Linked DNA regions of Rhinolophus ferrumequinum. The protein of the gene in region 1 interacts with the protein of each later gene in a pairwise test. Links are inferred from orthologs where the notes say so. Each region holds a gene or a part of one and is shown on either strand. Other genes may lie near its edges.

Region 1 (10,236 bases):
TCGAAAAATCAGCAGATAGTAGACAAATTTCTGAATTCAAAGATTTATAATCACACTGAGTGTGCAAGAGTAGTCACAATAAAATCCTGTTTTGTCATCTTATGTCAAGATATATTTAATAAGTATCTCCCATGGCCAAGACACTGTTCTCAATGATCAGACGCTATTTCCAATATTCTGGAATGCTATCAAAATAGAACATTCACTAAGGTTCCACATAATATTGTGCTGAATGTCCCAGACAAAAATGTGAGGCAGAAAAGCTGTGTATTAAAATTCAGATCCACCATGTTAACAGTAGCCCAAGAGCTTGCCTCTATGGAAACCAAACACTGTTCTACACCAAGTGATCACTGATTTGTATTTCTAAGTGTGTTCTAAAGTCCTGATTTTATTTTCACTGCATCAACAGAAAACACCACTATATAGACGGGAGAAATCAGTTCTAGTCAGTTTTTCCAAGCTGCATAGGTATTACTGCTTATATACTTCAAAAAGAGTGAGGTGGCTCAAAATCATAACCTGTGCTGTGACAACTGTACTTTGAACTTTAATTTCTGCATTTAAGTAAATACCACCATCTGCTTAAGCAATAAGGAAATGTATCTCCACCCACAAATGTTGTAACTGTTCCTGTCACACCTGTCTATCCAGTGTGGAGGCTTTCCTAAGAATCACTCACCTGCACAGATCTGAACGTAGTAATGAAAGGCAACATGATATGATAGCCTGGTCCACTGGGGTTAGTTAGTAAAGCTCCTCCCCTGCAAAAAGATGTTTCAATTTGACAAGATTATAGAGAAATGCTCTTTCCAAATCTAAAATGCTGTAATAAATATTCACTCTTACTCATGCTGCTGACCTATTAAAGCTTCACTAATATGAATTACTCACAATGAACAACTGCTGGTCCCTAAAATATCTGCCACAGCTAACAAGGTGAAAGGATCACATTAAGCTGCCGATGTTACAGCTTGTTTCATAAGCTCGACCAACCATACCTCTGGGTCTCCAGCACTGCACTCAGGTAGGAAGGATTCTCCTTGGTCTTTAACCATCTGAGAAGTACTTGTGAAAAAAAATTCTAAGGCTCTTAGTTGCTATACTTTAATTGCACATAACACGAGTTCAAAACATAATACATTTAATCACTATGTTGAAAAAAAAATGACACAAACTTTCAAGGGAGGAGAGAACTTCGAAGGCTCAAGAATCTTTTAATCTACCTACAAGGCAATTAAAATACTGGGGATATAAAGTCTATATAATAAACAACAAAAAATTAGCATAGAAAGATAAAGGGTAAGGGAATACAACTATAAATAGATAGGATGTAAGCGTGGACTTATTTACCAAATGCTGGAATGTGATAACTATGAAAGCACATCTTGGAAATTATAAAAGGGAGGCATTTTGGAGGCAGATATAAAAAAAGTCCTATTTTACATTGTGAAGAATAACTTCATAGAACTTAAGTTTGTATCTTGAAAACAGACACAGGTTTGCAAAAAATCCGTTAACTAATAACTTGAAAAGGATGACCTGTTTTAGGTCCATCCCTAAATTCTTTGAGAGCCATGCATTTTCCTTGGTTTTACTGCCAAGACAAGACGGAAATATGGACTAATCTGTCATTTTTTATGCTAGACCTCCATCTGCTAAGACATATCACTACACTTGTATTTGAAACTAGCGTTTCACAGAGAAGACTGTTTCTAGGACTCAGAATGGATCGAAAAGTAGAAAATACCACTTTGGGAGGATGATGGAAACCAGAAGTGGAAGCCCTTTCAAATACAGCATTAGCACAATTTCTGCAGACTGTCCTCTGTCTATATCAAAAAGAATTGGTGGTACTATGTTGAAGGAAAAGCTATTCGAGCTCAACTAGAGAGCAACACACTCCACACCATTTCTTTCCTCAACCTGAAAAGAAAGGGTAAGGTGGCAGGCGGGTGGTCCATCAATGCTGTGTTTCTCTCTCCAGGTCCAGGGAAGACATACGAGTAAAAACAATTGTCATGGTCATCATTATTTGGCCTTATAAGCCAAAACCAGACACTACGGGCTTTTAAAAGAAAAAAAAAAATCTAAAGAACCATCACAAACGCGACCCAAGCCAAGTTCTAAATTGAATCTAAAGCTGCAAACTGAAAGCCTGCACAGTTGTACGGAATACGACAATTTATCCATTTCATCAGTTACAGGTGGAGTGACCTCTGCCTGCCTGCCTGTCTTTTTTCTACAAATGATTGCACTTACTGTCTACCAGGAATAACTGGAGGGACTCTTAACCTTGGCACCAAATGGACATAGTACTAAAGCTGTCCACCACCCGGAGGGGGCTCTGCAAAAGCCTTCCTTTCCCCCCCATACTCTCCCTAGGGCTGGGACGAAAATCACTTTCTAGGACTGGAGAAGGCTCTCCGGACGCTACAGAGGAAACAACTTCTTAGATGCTCCTCTCCCGGGAGTCCCCTTTCTACCTGCCGGAGAAGCTGAGCGGGCTGCACACGCTGCTCACCTGTAGTACACAGCCAGGTGTCCTTCCTCGATCTTGTGGATGGAGGCGTAGAGGAGGACAACCACCAGACCCACCACTGCAGCCACCAGAACCCGGGCTTGAGTCATATTCATGCTTGTTCCTCCTGAATGAAGGAGGAAAGGACCCCAAGGCCCGTGAGCGACAAGCCTACCCCCTCGTTTCCACCCTCTACATCCGGACAACTGGCTCCCTCCCGCAGGCCGAGCCGGGAGTCCTGTGCCTCTTTTCCCTCATTCTTTCCTCCTCGCAGAACCCGTTCTCTCCTCGCCAACCTCTCCGCCGGAGGCGGCCCGCAGGCCGCCCCTGCTCAGTAATCGTCGTGACACCCCCAGCTCCCAGTGGCCGCTCCCCCGCCCCCCCGCAGAATGCACTAACTGAGAAGGGGGCCAGGGGCAGAGTTCGAAGGCAATCCGACCCCTCCGCGGCGCCTCACCGATCAGTGACGCATCGCCCCCGCCCGCACGTGCAGCCGCCTCCCCGGCCACGCCAACCGCCGCCAACAGCCGGCCCCGCCCACTCGCCCAGCCCTGCGGCTGCGCAGGCACGCACGCCGACGCAGTGCTCGCCCTGCCACCAGAGACGGGGAGCGGACGGGACAAAATTCTCCCGGCTGCCCTCCGCGCAATTTCCCTTGAAGGTACGGAGGCTCTGTTTTGTGCACTGCTGGTTTCCTGCTCCAGAAGAGAAGTCGGGAATCTGGAATAAGGGATGCAGAGAAAGCAGAGGGCCTCTTGTTCTTTTGCAGAGACCCGCCCCTACACTCAGTGTGGTAGCTGTTCCGTTTTATGACCTTTTGTGGTTTATACCGAACTCTATGTGGCAAGCATGTGCTTCAGGGACAGATCCTGCACTGAATTCAGGAGCAACCAGACTTACTGCCAAGTAAGGTGGAAGTTCAGAAGAGGAAGATACTCAATCTAACCGCATATTCACTCATCAAGTATTTTTCTGAGCACTTATTATGCCAGAGTGATGATCCAAAGAGGGCTTTATGAAGGCCATCCAAGCAATAGGAACAGCGTCCTCCAGGAAAACACTACAACAGTGAGCATTTGAGCTTCCTTGAAGCCAGTATGATGGAAAGTAGGATGGTAGGCTAGGCTAGGCTCAGATTTTGAAAGACTCAAATGCACTTTTTTCTTCAGGGAGCGGGTACTGGATGGCTACAGAATTTTTCACTGCATATTCTTCTTTTCTTTTACAATATCCATTATGTGCATGTTACCCAAAACAAAAAGGACAAAGTTAAAGAGTAGAGATGGGAGTGAGATGGATAAATACAAGGGAAATAAGTGCAGCATATTAGAGTAGGTTGGGCAAGAATGGTTCCTGTAAGCCTTGGAAGGCTAGCAGTGGGAGCACAACTGGACAAGTAGGCTAAGATTTAAGGACTCTGTAACGTCTTGGGCAGGGAAGTATGGGAAAGCAGTGCTTTAGGGCCAGTGAGTCTGCAAAATGGCTTAGAGGAGAGACACAGACTGGAGGCAGGGAAGCAAAGTGGTTAGACAATTGCGGGCCCAAAGTTACAATGGCAGTAACTGGAAACAGGAAGGGGTAAATAGAATCAATTCTTCATGAAAGCAAGCCCTCCCAGACCACTTTACCCTCTCCCCTCAATAAGTGCATTTACCTGTATCATTCATTTGACTCTTACTACCTAGGAATGTCCAGGACCTTGTTGGTTCCAGATAGGTGGTATCTGCAGAGCTTAGCTTTTTTAACTAACGAAAAGCAAAAAGAATGAAAAATAACTTGTTCCAGTCTCTGTTTTCTCTTTGCAGAACTGTTTCACGCACTCTCTTGATTTCTAGTCTGAGAGGGGCAAGGAACCCCTCCCTGTGCCAGTAACAGTATCAGATGACTAAAAAGTTAGAAGACAACCCAAGGTTTCAAACTTAGATGACTGGGAAAATGACACTACTAGAAAAAATAGGGATGGTGTGTCTAAATTTATAGGGCAAGATATGAGCATGGTTTTTAGACATGAATAGTGGTGACAGGACATCTCAGGTGAAAGCACTATATTAAAGCAGCTACCCAATATGGTCTTTACTATACATCCTGTATAATTCCATACAGGAAAATACAGTAAGAGCCTATTACGTTATCCTCTGCTCCAGTTCCAATTCATGGAAACTTGAAATTTTCCCAAATCATATTCAACTACAGTTGACCCTTGAACAACACACGTTTGAACTGTGTGGATCCACTTACATGCACTTTTGTTTTCAATAAATACAGTTAACCCTTCTTATTTGTGGGTTTCGTGTCTGCAAATTCCATGGATCAAAAATGGTATTTTCGCATTCCCAACCTCGGTTGGATGAATCCACAGATGCGAGGCGCCAACTGTAAAGTCACAAGTTCCATGTGGATTTTCTGCTGCGTGAGACTTGATGCCCCTAACCCCACTCATTGTTCAAGGGTCACCTGTATTCATCTGATTTTAATGAATAGAGTCAAAAAGTAATTTAAAAATCATTTAATACACAAAGTGAAAAACTATAATACAAAAGCATTTCACATTTTTTTAAAAAAACAGTATCTTCTAAATTACTTAACAGATGATAGATCCACAATCCTTAATCTGAAATTGTTAGGGCCAAATGTTTCAGAATTAGAAATTTTCAGATTTTAGAAACATAATTCAGTGCATATGCCATATTACATAAACCTCCAGCAGGGTCTGTGGCAGCACCCTTCCCCCCGCCGAATAATCAAACATGTTAATATTTCCACAGCAAAATAAATGAATATTCACACTAAATGGGATAAGTATGTTCAGTGTTACTTCATGTTAATTTGCGAGTTTTGTCATCACGCTTCTGAAAAACCTTGTTTTCAAAGCTTTCTGGAATCACAGATAAGGGCATGCAGACCTTTATAAATTTGTACAAGACATGAAAGATTCCTGAAACAAATGACCCATTTTTACAAATGAAAAAAAATAAGCTTTCAAATACATTATAAATTAACAGGCATCTCTTTGATATTACTAAATGTACATCTTAAATACATATACACATAGAACACTTAAGATTTATCAGTCAATTGGTATTGAAGGCACAGATACACAATCCCTCCTATAGGAAAGGAATACTGTCAAATGTGCAGTAAAATGGAAAATGGGATTGACCCAACTCCTTATGATGCCAGGAAGAGCACTGCTGAGTGCAACACAAGGAGGTAGGGGTATTCTTCAAGAAGTGCAATTTGACTTGTGAGCAGTCTCTTCCACAGAAACACAGGTAGACAACTTTTACTTAGAACATATATTGAGGTTTCTTCTCTGTATATACAGAGGGTGCCAAAAAAAGTGTATGTACATTTTAGGAAAGGAAAAAACTATTAAAATTGTAATACTCAACATACACCGTTAACAAAAAATGAATACAAGTCACCTTTGACTTCTGCAATTACAAGAGGTGCTCAAAGTAGTTACCATCAGTGTCCAGACACTTTTGATTATGGCGAACTACTGATTGAGCAATGGTGACCAAAGTGTCCACTTGTATACATTTTTTGGCACCCCCGGTATTACTTTTGGCCTAATGCCCAAAAGTTAAGTGTTAAAAGATATTTTTAAACAGTTATGTTTTACGAAGTTTAAAGACAAATGGATTGCAATGATAGCTAAGTAGCTGTAGTATTTAAACAAATTCTGTCAGTTCAGGGGTTATGATTACCAAAAGTCAAAATATTGCTCTTGTAAAATCGTGTAGTTTTTTTATCACAGCCATTTCTTCCATTGAATGGTATCTGAAGAAGGGTCTCATGGGAGAAAAACAAATTTCCAACACGTGCAACAACTTCCAAAGGTTTGGGACAGTGAATAAGTGGCAAGTCATTCTGTTAACCAACTCCAATCAAGATTCTAAAACCAGGCATGAAAAAGTTACAATTAGATGTTGACTATAAGTGGTAGATTTATGGGTTCATTTTTACAGATTTTCTGTATGTTTGGGCATTTTATAATCAAAAGTTGAAAAATCAAAACTATAAATAGGTTACAATTAGTGTTGTTTACTATATTTTCTGCTAATTCAAAACATACTTCAAAGTTTTCATAAATATTTGAAGCAAATAATTAATAAAAGAAGAAATATACAGAGTTGACATCAAGACTAAATAATAGTAGGTTAGTTCAGTCAACACTTTATTGTAGTTTCTCCAAGTTTTAACAAATGAGTGATTCATAGTAGTAACTAAATCTTCTTAATATAAAAACTATTAATTACAACTATAGTAACAGTATTCATTTTGTATACAGCAATTACTGTATCTGAATTATAATATAAATCCTGTCCCATCTTATTGGAGAAAATTGATTGCTGAAACAAAAAGATACAAACCATTCAATCTCAATGGTCACATTGCAAAGAAAGCTCACATTCATTAAATTAAATCAAATTTGACCAAAAATGCTACTGTTGAAGATTACTGATAAGATGATACAATCCTAGTACAACCATAAATAAGAGAAGATGGGGATTTGAGGTCAAGGATATTCCTTGAATGCTCTTTTTCTTTCCTCTGAGAAATGCAAGGTAAAACTAGCATGGAAAGTTAAACCCTTTGCACCCAACATACCTAAAACACATATCCACATCCATATAAAAACTCACCATCATTCTACTGCTCTGTTCCTCATTTGCTTTATGAATAATAGTGCTTAAATGGCCAAGACAGTTCAAATTTTCTTCTATCATTTGTGCCAAAGTCTCCCTGTGGGATGAAAAAACAAAGTCTTTTCAAATTCAGCAAAGGGGCATATGAATTTCCTCTATTTTTTGGTCTTCAGGGTCAGGATGATCAAAGCCTTTCCTGCAACCCAGCACCCCCAATGCAGCTGATTCCTGTAGTCTCCAGTTTCCTCATCCTTCCCACTCACAGGCACTCAGAGGCACAGTCCTGCTTGTTACGCCAAGTGTTGCCTCTGCCCAGCTCTAATGATAAGAAGTCCACTATTACTCCAATCTGATTTTTGTCTGAAATATAAGTGGCACTTATATACAACTCCCCCCTCCACAACCTCCGAAAATGCTAACTGGGGGGAAAAAAGATCCTTATTGCACAGACAGATGAAAGATCTCATTTTGTTTCTGGAGTATATCCTTTTCCTTACAAGTAGTAAAAACAGCATGCTTATTTCAGAGAAACAAATGCAAGGGAGAACATACAAAAGTACAATCTGTTCTGCAAAGATCAGGGAAGGTGGACTGATTGGAAACTACAGGTGACAGCAATGAAAAAGGAAACAAGCAAGCTGATTTCTGAGGACAGCAAAAGAAAACAGCGTGACAGGGAAGCTGCCCAGAACCAAGAAGTATCCCTGGAAGTTTGTATTGGAAGGAAATCCTGATTCTGGTTTTCTCCTTCCATGCTTTCCTTTTCCCTAGAGCCCCTCTCCTCACCTTTTACTAACCGTCAGAGTCCCTACCTACTAGAATCAGTTGTAGGCTATGGATGATAGCCACTATTAGCTTAGAACTAAACTCTAATTCAGCTCTTATTCAACAGATGGCAAAATTAAGGCCAATAGTTCCCGATCCATGGTGATTAAGTACCACTGGTACATACTAATTGAAATCAGTTTTCCTTTATAATATATTCCTACTGGAAAGTATATTTAAAATTCCTTTCCAATATACTTACGCGAACCACAACATCAAATTGGAAATTCCCTGTATAGAGGTGACATTTGCAACCATTAGCATCCCCTAACAAACCTAAAAGTCTTTAATGAAAACAAAAGTGTTAGTAATGTATTCAATTTTATTTAACTCTGATTAATGGAGTATTTCCTGAAGTCTATAATAATTAATTACAGCCTGTGCTGTAGCTGTGGCTGTATTACATTGGGCCAAGTTTATAATGACCCCTGGAACTTGCTTTCTTTAAAAAAATAAAATACCTGATATCAGTTTGCCTTCCTGCCATGTACTTTTCTCTCATAAAAGTAGAGGACAGAATATGCAACCGCATGACCTCCTGAGCAGTGATGGAACATGGCTACACATCTGCAAAACTAATTATGGGCAGAGCTTCCAGGGAAATGCTGCTGCTGTAGAAGTCTCCGGGAGTTGTGAGAAAAGCAACAATACACAAGCTAGCAAAGAGCCACCTGCTCTGGCTGTGGCACATCTAATGCTGAGAAAAATAACAGATGGATAGTCATTCAGCTTTTAGCAGAAGAGTTAGTGATTAATAAAAGACTTCAAACTTCAGTTCCTATTAGCAAAACTGATTTAAGGCACTGAAAAAAGTTTGATATTAGAAATACTAAGTTATAAAATAGAGTAGATTCAACTCAGCAATTCATTAGAGAGATGATCAAGGTCCCCAAAATGATAAATGCAAAAAGATAGCATGATTTCTCAGTGACAAATGGTTAAGGAAGGAATAAAGTTTGGGTAAAAGAATTGATAAACCAATAACAGAGAGAGAACTTAGAACTTGGATTGAGCTAATAATGATTAACATCTGCTGAATATTTATTTCCCAACACTTTACATACATCATCTAATCCAATGTTCACAACAGGTCCAATTGTACAGGTGAGGATATATGAACAGTAAAAGAGTCAAATTAATTGCACAAGGTTATTACAAAGGGACAGTCAGGACTCAACCCTGCTCTAAATGGCACTGAAGACTATGCTTCAACCACTGTGCTCTACTGCCTCATTTCTACGACTGCTCTTGAAAACACAACTATCTATTGTTACAAAGTGAACCCACCCATCTTGAGGAGTTACCACACATGACAGAGGATGTTCACGTTCTGCTGAAGTCGGGGGCAGCCATGCTGATGCCTGAGGGGGAGTCACTGCACCTTCTAGACTGGATCCTACCAAGGACCGGGCTGAACTCTGTGTCTGCAGAAAAATAAAAATAAGATTAAAGGCAAGCACCTCCACTGATTCATACAATTTCCTACCATATTCTTAAGACACTTCCATTGCTACTTATGTGCACAATCAGAGTATTCTGCACAAAACTATCCCCACCTGTACACACCGCTACTAACTGTCCTGTCCCCAGCCCTTTTCTTCATTGACTAAAACCAAATGTATCTACCCATCAAATTCCACTTTCATTGGAGGAAGGGAAAAAAAAAAACAACAGTTGAACAAATGGTTTATTAACTAGTCAGACACATCTAGCCCCAAACCGGGGTGGGATACCACAGTAGTCCAGAGCTGGGAGGAGTATAAAAACAGGAGACTGGAAAGAAAAGAGTTAATGTAGGGTGATCATGAAGTCCTGCAGGTGAACTGCTAGTCAGACATCAAGCAAAGAACACGAGCATCGGGCCGGCCTGGTGGCTCAGGCGGTTGGAGCTCCATGCTCCTAACTTCGAAGGCTGCCAGTTTGATTCCCACATGGGCCAGTGGGCTCTCAACCACAAGGTTGCCAGTTCAACTCCTCGAGTCCCGCAAGGGATGGTCGGCAGTGCCCCCTGCAACTAAGACTGAACACAGCACCTTGAGCTGAGCTGCCCCTGAGCTCCTGGATGGCTCAGTTGGTTGGAGCGCACCCTCTCAACCACAAGGTTGCCAGTTCGACTCCCGCAAGGGATGGTGGGCTGCGCCCCCTGCAACTAGTCCTAGAGCTGAGCTGTGCCCTCCACAACTAAGACTGAAAGGACAACAACTTGAAGCTGAATGGCACCCTCCACAATTAAGATTG
Region 2 (10,124 bases), on another chromosome or scaffold:
TTAAGGAATGAATGAACTTGGAAAGAAAGTCAATATTTTAAAATTTGAAATGATGCTGTAATTGGTCTCCATTTGTTTGCTCCATTCATATCACTGTTTCAAGTAGTGGTTACATGTTTTGCAGTTTGTACTACTAATGTTAAATTAGCTATCTGGAGACAAATGATTTTGTTCCCATGTTGATTACCTGGAAATGTAGGAACCAATTTTAAGGATTTTCTTTATAAATTGTTTCTTTGCAGATGAAGATATATTTGTTTCTTAGGCCCAAGGAAAACAGTAAGTACAGAAATGTTTTCTAAACATGTAGCTAATGATAGATCTAGATCATGGTGTCTAAAACCACTGCAGCTGTTTTCAGGAGCCAATATAGCAAACACTTGGTTAACCAAAACTCTCAGAGGGAGGGATAAAGTATAATTATCTAGGATCCTTGTATAAAATCATTCCAAATTGTTATTTTTTTGCCTGAATAGAGAACAGGGAATTGGAGCAGATTCTGAGGGATATTCATCTCCTTTAGGACATTGTTATGACATATCAATCAATATTATTTTCCAGAACTCTGGTTATTAAAGCTATAGGATAGGAAACCAATTTTCCACTATTTCTGTAAAAGATATAGCAAATTGTTATTGTTTTACAGTTGATTTGGTTCACTTTTTAAAATCAACTGATTCTGCTTTTGTTGTTGCTTTTTTTTGTTTGTTTTGTTTTTTAAAGTTTATTGGGGTGACAATTGTTAGTAAAGTTACATAGATTTCAGGTGTACAATTCTGTATTACATCATCTATAAATCCCATTGTGTGTTCACCACCCAGAGTCAGTTCTCCTTCCATCACCACATATTTGATCCCCTTTACCCTCATCTACCATCCCCCTCCCCCCTTACCCTTCTGTTTTGGTTTGTTTTGCCTATTTTAAAGTGGTAAACAACAAAATATTCCAGTTAATTGAGTTTGCTTTATAAGGAGATTATGGGTAAGAGATGAGGAATTTTAAAATAATCCCAATGACTGAGTTTAGGAAACAAAATGAGATTCCAGTACCTCTCGCGAGTGTCTGAGGAGGCCTCTTTTCTTTTTTGATTGTAATGGAAAGGTTAGAAGAAACTGCGACGAGCAAGAGGCAGAGGGCTGAAGCTGAGTATAACATCATGTGTCCTTGAGAACCCCTCTGGAAAAGCTAGACGACAGAAAATAATTTTCAGAATCTAGAAGGTTACTTCAAGCTGTCATTAAGACATTTGTTACGAGTCAGACAAAAGCTATGCTGACAGGTGGCTCTGCTTGTGTGAGTTGACACAGTATAACCTCCTGGAATGTCATTCGCATTTTATTTTTAAAATATTTTTAAAATGCACCCAACTCAATAAGTGTCCACTTGGTGAAAAGCCGTATTCTGGGCATCGTGGGAGCAGTACAATGAAGCTGAAAGAGAACTGGATTGGGGCACTCAGAACTCATTTCTGAGGGCATTCTAGTGTTCACAGCTCTACCGTGAAACTCAAATAAGATAGGATTTGTTAAAGGTCTTTCATCTCTAAAGAATAATGCAATGGTGACCTCTGGCATGCATAAATATTCTTTTGATTCTTCTTGATCTGATAGATTAAAATAACACTTTAACTCTACGCCAATGTAATAAGATTAGGCATGAACAAATATTGCCTACAATAGATTTCAGAGAAAAAGTGGAAGACGAAGATTCTGTTCCTTGATAGTCTCTTATATTTCTCATCCTTCCACTTGTTACTCAGCCTTTTACCCCTCAGTTTACAATCCCGCTCTTTCTGAAATCAAGTTTATTGTCATATTGTTATAAATATATGTGTAAAAAAGAACAAACCTGCTGTCTGTAGTTCTCCCTTGGTTACTAGAATTCAAATGGCTTTTCAAGTCAATGTACTATCTTAAGATATAATCAAGTCTAGAGTTGGACCTGGCCTTAAACTATTTGATAAATGTTATTTGTAGCATATAAAACCCATGTGAAATAGTTGACATATGCAGTCATGAAATTACCTCGAAATATGAGATAAATGTACAGAAATCATTCACGTTGATTTAAAATTCCTTTAAAACCGTTTTCCTGTTGACTTATATTATTTAGTACTGAACTTCCTACCAAAATAGCGAATTGACTGTTTTGTGATTCTACCCAAACATGACTATTGCTATATGTAACTGTACTAGGCATTGTGGGAGAATTGAAAGATTAATAAGACAAATGTTCCTTACAATAATTTACTGCTTGACACTGGTAATAAGATCCTTATGTAATAGAGCAACGGTAGTTAATGAGGAAGATAACTTGGTGGTGGGAAGGTTTATAGATTCTAGGTTTCTCCAGACACTTCCTCATTCCTCTCATTGTAGTACCTTTCCCTTGCCAATGATGTTTCCCTTCAGTTCCCCTTTGGATTGAAAATGGTTGTCACTCCAGGCTAGCCCTATTTAAATCATTTCCCTTCCTACTCTGCAGTGAACCCCATTTTATATTTCTTTGTGTTCAATTATGGAAAAACTCTGTTAAACAATCACCATGGTGCACGATAACGGCCTCAGTTTAAGTTCTTATAGCTTATTAATACCAGAAAACATTTCAGAATGCCATCTTTTATTTTAAGGACCTGTCATCTTGTACCTTAAAGACTGAAACAAAGAAAGGGTCAAGTTCACTAGGGGATAGAGAGAGCTGACTCGAGCACACAAAGTGCAATGAAGGGAAGGCAAGCTGTGTCAGGTTGAAAGTTGCCATGGAGAAACTGAAGCAACCATCTAGGGCAGGGTCTTAAATCTGGAGGCAGCATCAGAAAGGTTCTTTATGGTAGAGATAGAGATAAGTAGGTGGAATCTACATGGAAAAAGAAAAAGTATAACTTCACCATTTTCCTATTTTAAAGCTGGCAAGCTTTTTTTTTCAAAATTCAAGTTATCATGTACTATTGTCGAAGACTGTTCTAGTTAAAAAAACAATCAAAATACCAATTTTCTATTTTACAGTGTTTGATAAATGGTAAAAATAGATGTTAAATACATCCCATGACAAAGCTGACCAATTTATGTATTGTTAGTTTTGAATAAGCAATGCTTTCCTTAAAGAAACAGAACTTGAACTGCTGAGGGTTCTCTAACACCAAAAGCACAGTTCAGCTGCTTGGGGGGGCACTGATGAATTACATGGTTAACAACCCTGGAGCCGCTTACAGCACACTTAGGAGGCACATAACCAACCGTCTACAATTAGGTGTTATAAACGCTGGCCAATTAGCATTTTCTAACTCTAGTATTTTACTTTTCAAAAGTAATTTGATGTAAGTCATTTACTTAGATATTATAGAAAGATATTCCTTATTTTAAATTATAACAACATTTAAAGGAGAACAGGGAAAAACAATTGTTACTTATAGCATCATTTTTGAAGAGTTTTTTTTTCCAATGCTGGTTTATTATAGTATCATTAATATAAGCAGAGAATAAAAGCATGAAGGCAGCAGAAGAAATCCAGTTCTCTAAAAGAAAAATATCCAAGTCCATTGAATGCTCCTTACACTTTACTGAAAGATCTTACTTTTGAATAGTGACACACGGATTACTTAAATACTGTAGCAGAGTTTGACCACCGATTATATAATCAGGAAATTTTGCTGGCTTACCTGAACTAGCCAGTGCTCTTGCTGGAAGTATATTCTGGATGTTTCTGGTTTAAAATGGGTGTGGATTTATAGACACAAACACACACACACCCCTGACCTACAGCCCCACCTGCATCGAAACAAGAGCAGTCAGTCACCTGCAAACTAAAAAAAGGGGCTTGTCTGAAAAACCCTGTGTTTCATTGCAGTTCTCATGCTTCTCACGCTAAAATAAACTCTTCTCTCTTTCTCTAAGTTAAGATTGAGTGTCCTCAGAAAATGAGGCCAAATACAATCTTTGGGCTTTTTTCTCGTTTACCTTTTACTTCCCAAGGTAATTTAATGTTTGGCGGGAGTTCAACACCAGAAAAAAAAAAGTGGGGAGAAAGGAACTGGTATGAATGTAGGAACTGTGTGTACACCATTGTTCTTGATGAAAGTTCAGTGAGGCTTGCAGATTAGATATAAAGCAAACAGGAATTCCTAAGGGTTACTCTGTTTACAGGAATGCAATTAACAGCTAAAGAGACCAGGTCCTTTTTTCTTCAGAGAGAGAGAGAGAGAGAGAATGCTGTTTTAAAATTCAACATTTTAATAATTTGATTACTCTACAGTCTTAATAAAAACCTTTACCTTACTATACAAAAAAATAGGAAAACAGGCAATTAGATAAGTTTGTTTATATTTATCTAATAGCTATATTTAAATTTTTTTCTAATTAATCCATAATTATGGTAAAACTTTTTCCAAGTATAGAGTTGTACCAAATAAAAAGTAAAATTCTCTTCTCCCTTCACCAGTACTTTTCTTGTGCACCCCACCAAACACACACACACACACACACACACACACACACACACAGAGACACACTTTCACTTCCCAGAATTAATTACTGTTAAAATGATCTAGGAGAGGGTTACCAAATCTGGCCCACCTGTTTTTGTACAACCTGGGAGCTAAGTACTGTTTTTACATTTTAAATGATTGGGAAAAATCAAAAGAAGAATCATATTTTGTGACATGTGAAACATGAAATTCAAATTTCAGTGTAGATAAATAACGATTAGTGGATGGAGTACAGTCATGTTCATTTCCTTATGTATTGTCTATGGTTACTTTTGTACTATAACAGCAAAGTTGAGTACTGTGATGGAAACTGAATAACCTGCAAACCCTAAAATATTTACTATCTGGCCTTTTACAGAATACGTTTGTTCCCTAATCTAGCCTATTGTTCAATAATCTTCCTTCCTTCCTCCCTGCCTTCTTCACTCTTTCCCTTTTCTCCCTCCCTCCCTCCTTCCTCTCTATCAGTCATTTTGTCTAATTACTCAATATATTAACAAATGCATTGTTAAAGGGGGCGGGTGATGGTTGTCTTGCTTCTGACATCAAGGTGAATGTGCTTCTCGTATTGTAACTTCAGACATAGCGCTGGTTTGATTCACTACGTTAAGAAGGGAGACATTTCATAGTCCTATACTACATCTCTTAAAAGCAGGGATGTTGGATTTTGTTCTACAAAGATGGATGTAGGGGTTTTCTAATTTCATATAGTAAATTTATAGTTTTCTTAATTGAACTTTCCTTGTGATCCTGAGAGAAACCCCATGTAGCCAGGTTGTAGTAGTCTCGCACTATACCACTAACTTATTTATTCGTTTAAGCTGTGCTTTCTTTCTTATAAAGGATTCTCAAAGGGAACCTTCCTTGGGACATGCTATTCAGATAGAATTCTTTCTGCTGAAGGTTAAGAAACTTGACTTACAATTTTAATTTCAAACCCAGAATTTCCAAGCAAAGAAACAACTGGGCAGTGATCCTCTTACAGAGGAGAGTGGAAGTGCTTTCTCCTTGTTCTTGACAAGCAGTGGTTTATAGAAAATTCTCAAAATCTTCTGACATCCCTGCTAAACTCCTCACATAATGTATTTTAATAGATAATGAGAAGAGAATGAGAAAGAAGTCAAATGCCTAAGAGGCAGTGAAACTAAGTCCTATGTCTGAGCTGATCAACATGTTTTGTTCCCACCCATTAGTGTAACTATGTAATATATCCTCTAAAACAGGACAACTTTGAGAGTAAAAGGAGGTAACATAATCTATTGGAATTATTTAATTTTTAAAATAAGATTTTGAAATATATTTGTCAGCTCAAACTGGTTTTCTTATATAATGGATCACAAAGAGTACTCTTGAACATTATTCTCAAAAGTTAAAAATTTAAAAAGTACATTCATGCACATTATGTTGAAATTTTAAAAATTATTCTTTGTATATGTTTGTTAATTGGTTTCTTAACCATGCTTGTCTCTGATACTGGGTGGCTGGTATTTTTCTGAAGATTGTTCTGGTATTATTGGTCTTTATTTTTTCAATGGGATCTTATATTTACTCTTTTTATAAAATTGCCTGCAATCACCTTCAAAGTTGTCCTCGTGGTAAATAGTATAGTTGAAATTGTCATCAGCTTCAGTTGGTATGTCTCTGTAAACCATACTATTTTTAATTAAGTTAAAAATTTAATTTTTAAAAATTAATCTTCCTGTAGGTGCTTGGTTACCTGGTAAGCTCGAGAAAATTTATTTCAGTGGAGGATAGTTTCAATTCTACTTTTAATCTTATTTAAAAATTATCTCAAATACTGTTTTTAGTCTCTGTTTAGAGTCCTTTCTTCAGTTTTATAAGGTGAAACATCTATTTTATTTTACTTATTTATTTTTAAATATTTTTTTATTAGTTCCAGGTGCACAAAACAATGTAATAGACATTTATCATTTATATCCCTCACACAGTGACAACCCCCTATCCCCCATGCACTACCCCTCTGACATTGCACACAGCCATTACATTTCCACTGTCTCTATTCTTAATGCTGTACTCCGCTTCCATATATATACATATATATACATATATGTATAATTATAGTTGACATTCATTATTGTTCAGCTTCAGCTTCAGGTGTACAGTGCAGTGATCAGGCATCTACATCATCCCTTAGGTGGTCTCCCTAATGTGACAAGTGTCCATTGGATACCCTACAAAATCTTTACAACATTACTGATTACATTCCCCAAATTGACTTTCGTTTCCCCGTGGCAATTTTGTGGTTACCGACTGTGCTTTCTAATCCCCTCACCTTCCTCCTTATCCCCACCCTCCCTCCCATCTAGCAACCCTCAGTTTTTCCTCTATGTCTCTGAGACTGTTTCTGATTAGTTCATTCATTTATTCTTTTCTTTAGAAACATCTATTTTAAATGTTTTATTAAATTTCCAAGCTACAAAATTGTAGGTCCTTTCTGTTTCATTTGGGAACAGAATAGTAATTTATCCAATTAAATAAAGGCTCTTTAATTAGTCACGATAGTCCACATTTGGCGTTAATTCTTTCAAGACTAGTGACCCATATTTTCATAAGATTAATTGGTTACATAAATCATAAATTGAATTTTAGGTTAGGATTTACCTATCCACTTTGTGTATTTGTGTGTCCATCTGTCTGTTTATGTTTTAGTTTGTCAGTATCTCAGAATACATAAAAAACAAAAACAGTACAAAAAGGTCGACAGTGGAAAATAGATCTCTTTCCCACCCACTTTCCAGTCTATGCATCTTCTAACTGGAGGCAATAATTATCAACTTCTTGAGCCTTCTTCCAGAAATAATTTATTTATATTTAAGCATGTCCCTATCCATTTATTATCTATTTATCTAATTGATTTATCTATCATCTCTGTATATATCTTCCTATTTTTTATTAACACAAATGATGTCATTCTATCAATATTTCTGACCTTCTATTTTCGATAACATTTAATATCCTACTATCTCAGAACTGGTAATTTCATGAAACTAATAAATAAAAGAGAAAGACTATTCTGTAGAGAACATTTAACTGTCTTTATTTGCTAAATCCTGTAGAAGAAAATACTTAAAAAATTTTTGTTTCTAGAAAAAAAGATTCTGTGGATTAAAGGAATAGCTATCTCCAGAATTTGTTATTGAGCAGTGTTATTTTATAACAAACATTTAAAATCATAGTGTTTTTATAAGCCTCTCATGTTGTGTCAGCAACCTATAGATTCTTGCTCCGTCAAGAATAGTTCCATTTCCTATTGCAAAATAACAACTCTTTATTTAAGCATCTCAAGTCTCTTTTTCAGAGTAGTACAACCAAACACTTCGTAAACATGTGCTATTTTTCACAATATGAATGTACTCGGGATTTATTCCTTGCTTCTTGCCCTGTGGGCCACATAAGATTAAATAGAATCATGAATGTAGCTTTCGGATTAGATTCAAGTCTTTCAATTAAGCTCTTCCCTGTAGCCTGTGGGGGTAACATTTTGCTTTTATCCATAAAAATGTCTCTATGCCTTGAATAGGCAGAGCATTTTTCTTTTCATGGAGGGAGATCAGGGACCTAGACTGGCCACTCAGTTTCCCTAGTTACAGTTTGTGGAGAGCCTGTTTTGGAAATTATGGGTGAAATTAAAATGGAGTGTGCAGAGTTGAGAGGCAGCCATAGCAAGTCTGCCTCCAATCCAAAAATAGTTACCAAATGAATGGAGAGCAGTAGAGTAGCTACCAAATGAATGGGAAGAAGAAAGCAGAGCCAGGGAGTAACAGAACAAAGGGAAGGAGAGGAATAGACAGTGGGGTCTGGGGATTCAAGGTCTCTTGGATGATGTGTGGGACAGCCGGCTCCATTTAAAGAGTTGGAGAGAGTGTGGGTGTGGTCTTATCATGAGAGTGGAGAACGAAGAATCTTAAGATGGCAAATATAATGTTTGTAATGACATTTACAACTTTGAATTTAAAGGCTATGGTTTAATCTGTAAAAGCTAAATTATATTCACGAGCTGCAGATGTGAAAGCACCAAGCCACACAATAAATTATGTTTCTAGGGGAATTATATATCTTTGTGTAGGGAATCATTTTGTTTTGATAATTTCAAAACATGTTAATAGAGGAACGTTCCCTGAAAGAGGATCTTCTACTTCACACAGCCGAATGCAATACTTGGTCAGGGTCCTTAGGGAATAAATATTGTACGTACAAATCCTCAATGCAAATCCATGCTTAAAAACATATTCTACAAGTCAACTAAATTGCATATTATAATTTTGTAAATACAGATTGATGTTTTGTGTGCTTGAGGAGTGACCAATACACTAACAGTCCTCAGTCCTGCTAAAGCTCTTCATTTATGTTCCCTCTGTTTTGTTTCAGGTAATACAGGATTTTAATTTCATAGTTTACATTTGCTGTAGGTCCCTTTTAAAGAATTGCTGTACTAAATACCTTTGGTTGCTTACTTATGACTATTTTTCTTTCATACATGCTTCTTTTATGAAAGACAATGATTTCCTTCAGATAGTCCCTTATTTCTGTGCTGTTGTATATTTAGAGGAGGTGGGCCCTATAGCTGGCATCAGAGGGAAATCTTGATGAGTTTATTCCAGTGGTTTTCAACCAGTGGTATTTGGCAATATCTAGAGACATTTTTGATTGTCACAACTGGAGAGGATGCTACTGGTATCTAGTGGGTAGAGGCCAGGGATGATTTTAAACACCCTGCAAAGCACAGGACAGCTCCTGCAGCAAAGCATCATCCAGCCCAAATGTCAATAGTGTTGAGGTTGAAAACTTCTGGTCTATTTTAACCAAGTCATGGTGGTCCCATTCTAAACCAGTGTTGGTGTAAGCATGAACATGTGATATGATTCTGGCCAGTGAAATACGAAGGCAAATGTACGAGAAGTTTTTGTCATGAATAGAAGTCAATAAATGTAAAGATAATGGCCCTTTTCGATTATATATCATGTCTGGATGTAATAGATGGAACTGTGGTAACCACCTTGATGTAATGAGGGTGGTTAAAGAGGACAAAGTTGATGTACTTTAAAGAGACTGATAGGAAGAAGGAAAGAATCTGTGTGTGTGTGTGTGTGTGTGTGTGTGTGTGTGTGTGTGTGTGTACATGTCAGAGTCATTGTTTTAACTGTCCTTGGAATCATCATGACTTAGGACTCGTTCTACAAAAATACCTTTTTTTCTATTGTTTAAGCCAGCTAAGTCAAAATTTTCTGTCACTTTTAGTCAGCAGTATCCTAATTGATAAAATTATTTAGCATTCGCTTGTTTCATAATTAAACTTTCAAGCTTTTTTGACATTTATTTTCGTTGGTTTCATTCTCATTGATATTTCTCTTACGTCATGTCTTTCTCATTGGAATTTTTTGGTCTGTTTTGTAGAATTTTGGAGCAAGGATACATGGGTGATATGTATTGATCTGTGTAAGTCTAGAATGTCTTTCTGTTTAACTCATGTGAGTAAGAGCTTGCTTGGATGTTAAATTATTTGTGGTTCAATAAATTCTAGATGTAGCTGTTTAGTGTTCTACTTATTTGGCATACAGTGTCCTTTACTGTTTAGTGTAGATGAAAGATTTGAGGCCAATCTAAGTCTCTTGAAATTTAT

The links.
Region 2: the proteins of ERLIN1 (region 1) and AGR3 interact in binary tests that used the Homo sapiens proteins (3 or more experiments, as listed by UniProt). The two-hybrid records come from large-scale screens. The link is inferred for Rhinolophus ferrumequinum from reciprocal best matches to the Homo sapiens genes ERLIN1 and AGR3.

Annotation. Positions count from the first base shown.
Region 1 is NC_046299.1:24,341,028-24,351,263, reverse strand, and holds the start of ERLIN1 (erlin-1), read right to left. Parts: upstream 3,740-10,236; 5' UTR 2,921-3,739; intron 2,649-2,920; 5' UTR 2,638-2,648; coding exon 2,525-2,637; intron 765-2,524; coding exon 683-764; intron 1-682. Other genes in the region: CHUK (inhibitor of nuclear factor kappa-B kinase subunit alpha), read right to left, coding at 6,390-6,419, 7,171-7,270, 9,286-9,422. UniProt on the Homo sapiens protein: Component of the ERLIN1/ERLIN2 complex which mediates the endoplasmic reticulum-associated degradation (ERAD) of inositol 1,4,5-trisphosphate receptors (IP3Rs).
Region 2 is NC_046303.1:22,233,959-22,244,082, reverse strand, and holds the start of AGR3 (anterior gradient protein 3), read right to left. Parts: upstream 3,918-10,124; 5' UTR 3,659-3,917; intron 1,186-3,658; 5' UTR 1,159-1,185; coding exon 1,050-1,158; intron 1-1,049. UniProt on the Homo sapiens protein: Required for calcium-mediated regulation of ciliary beat frequency and mucociliary clearance in the airway. Might be involved in the regulation of intracellular calcium in tracheal epithelial cells.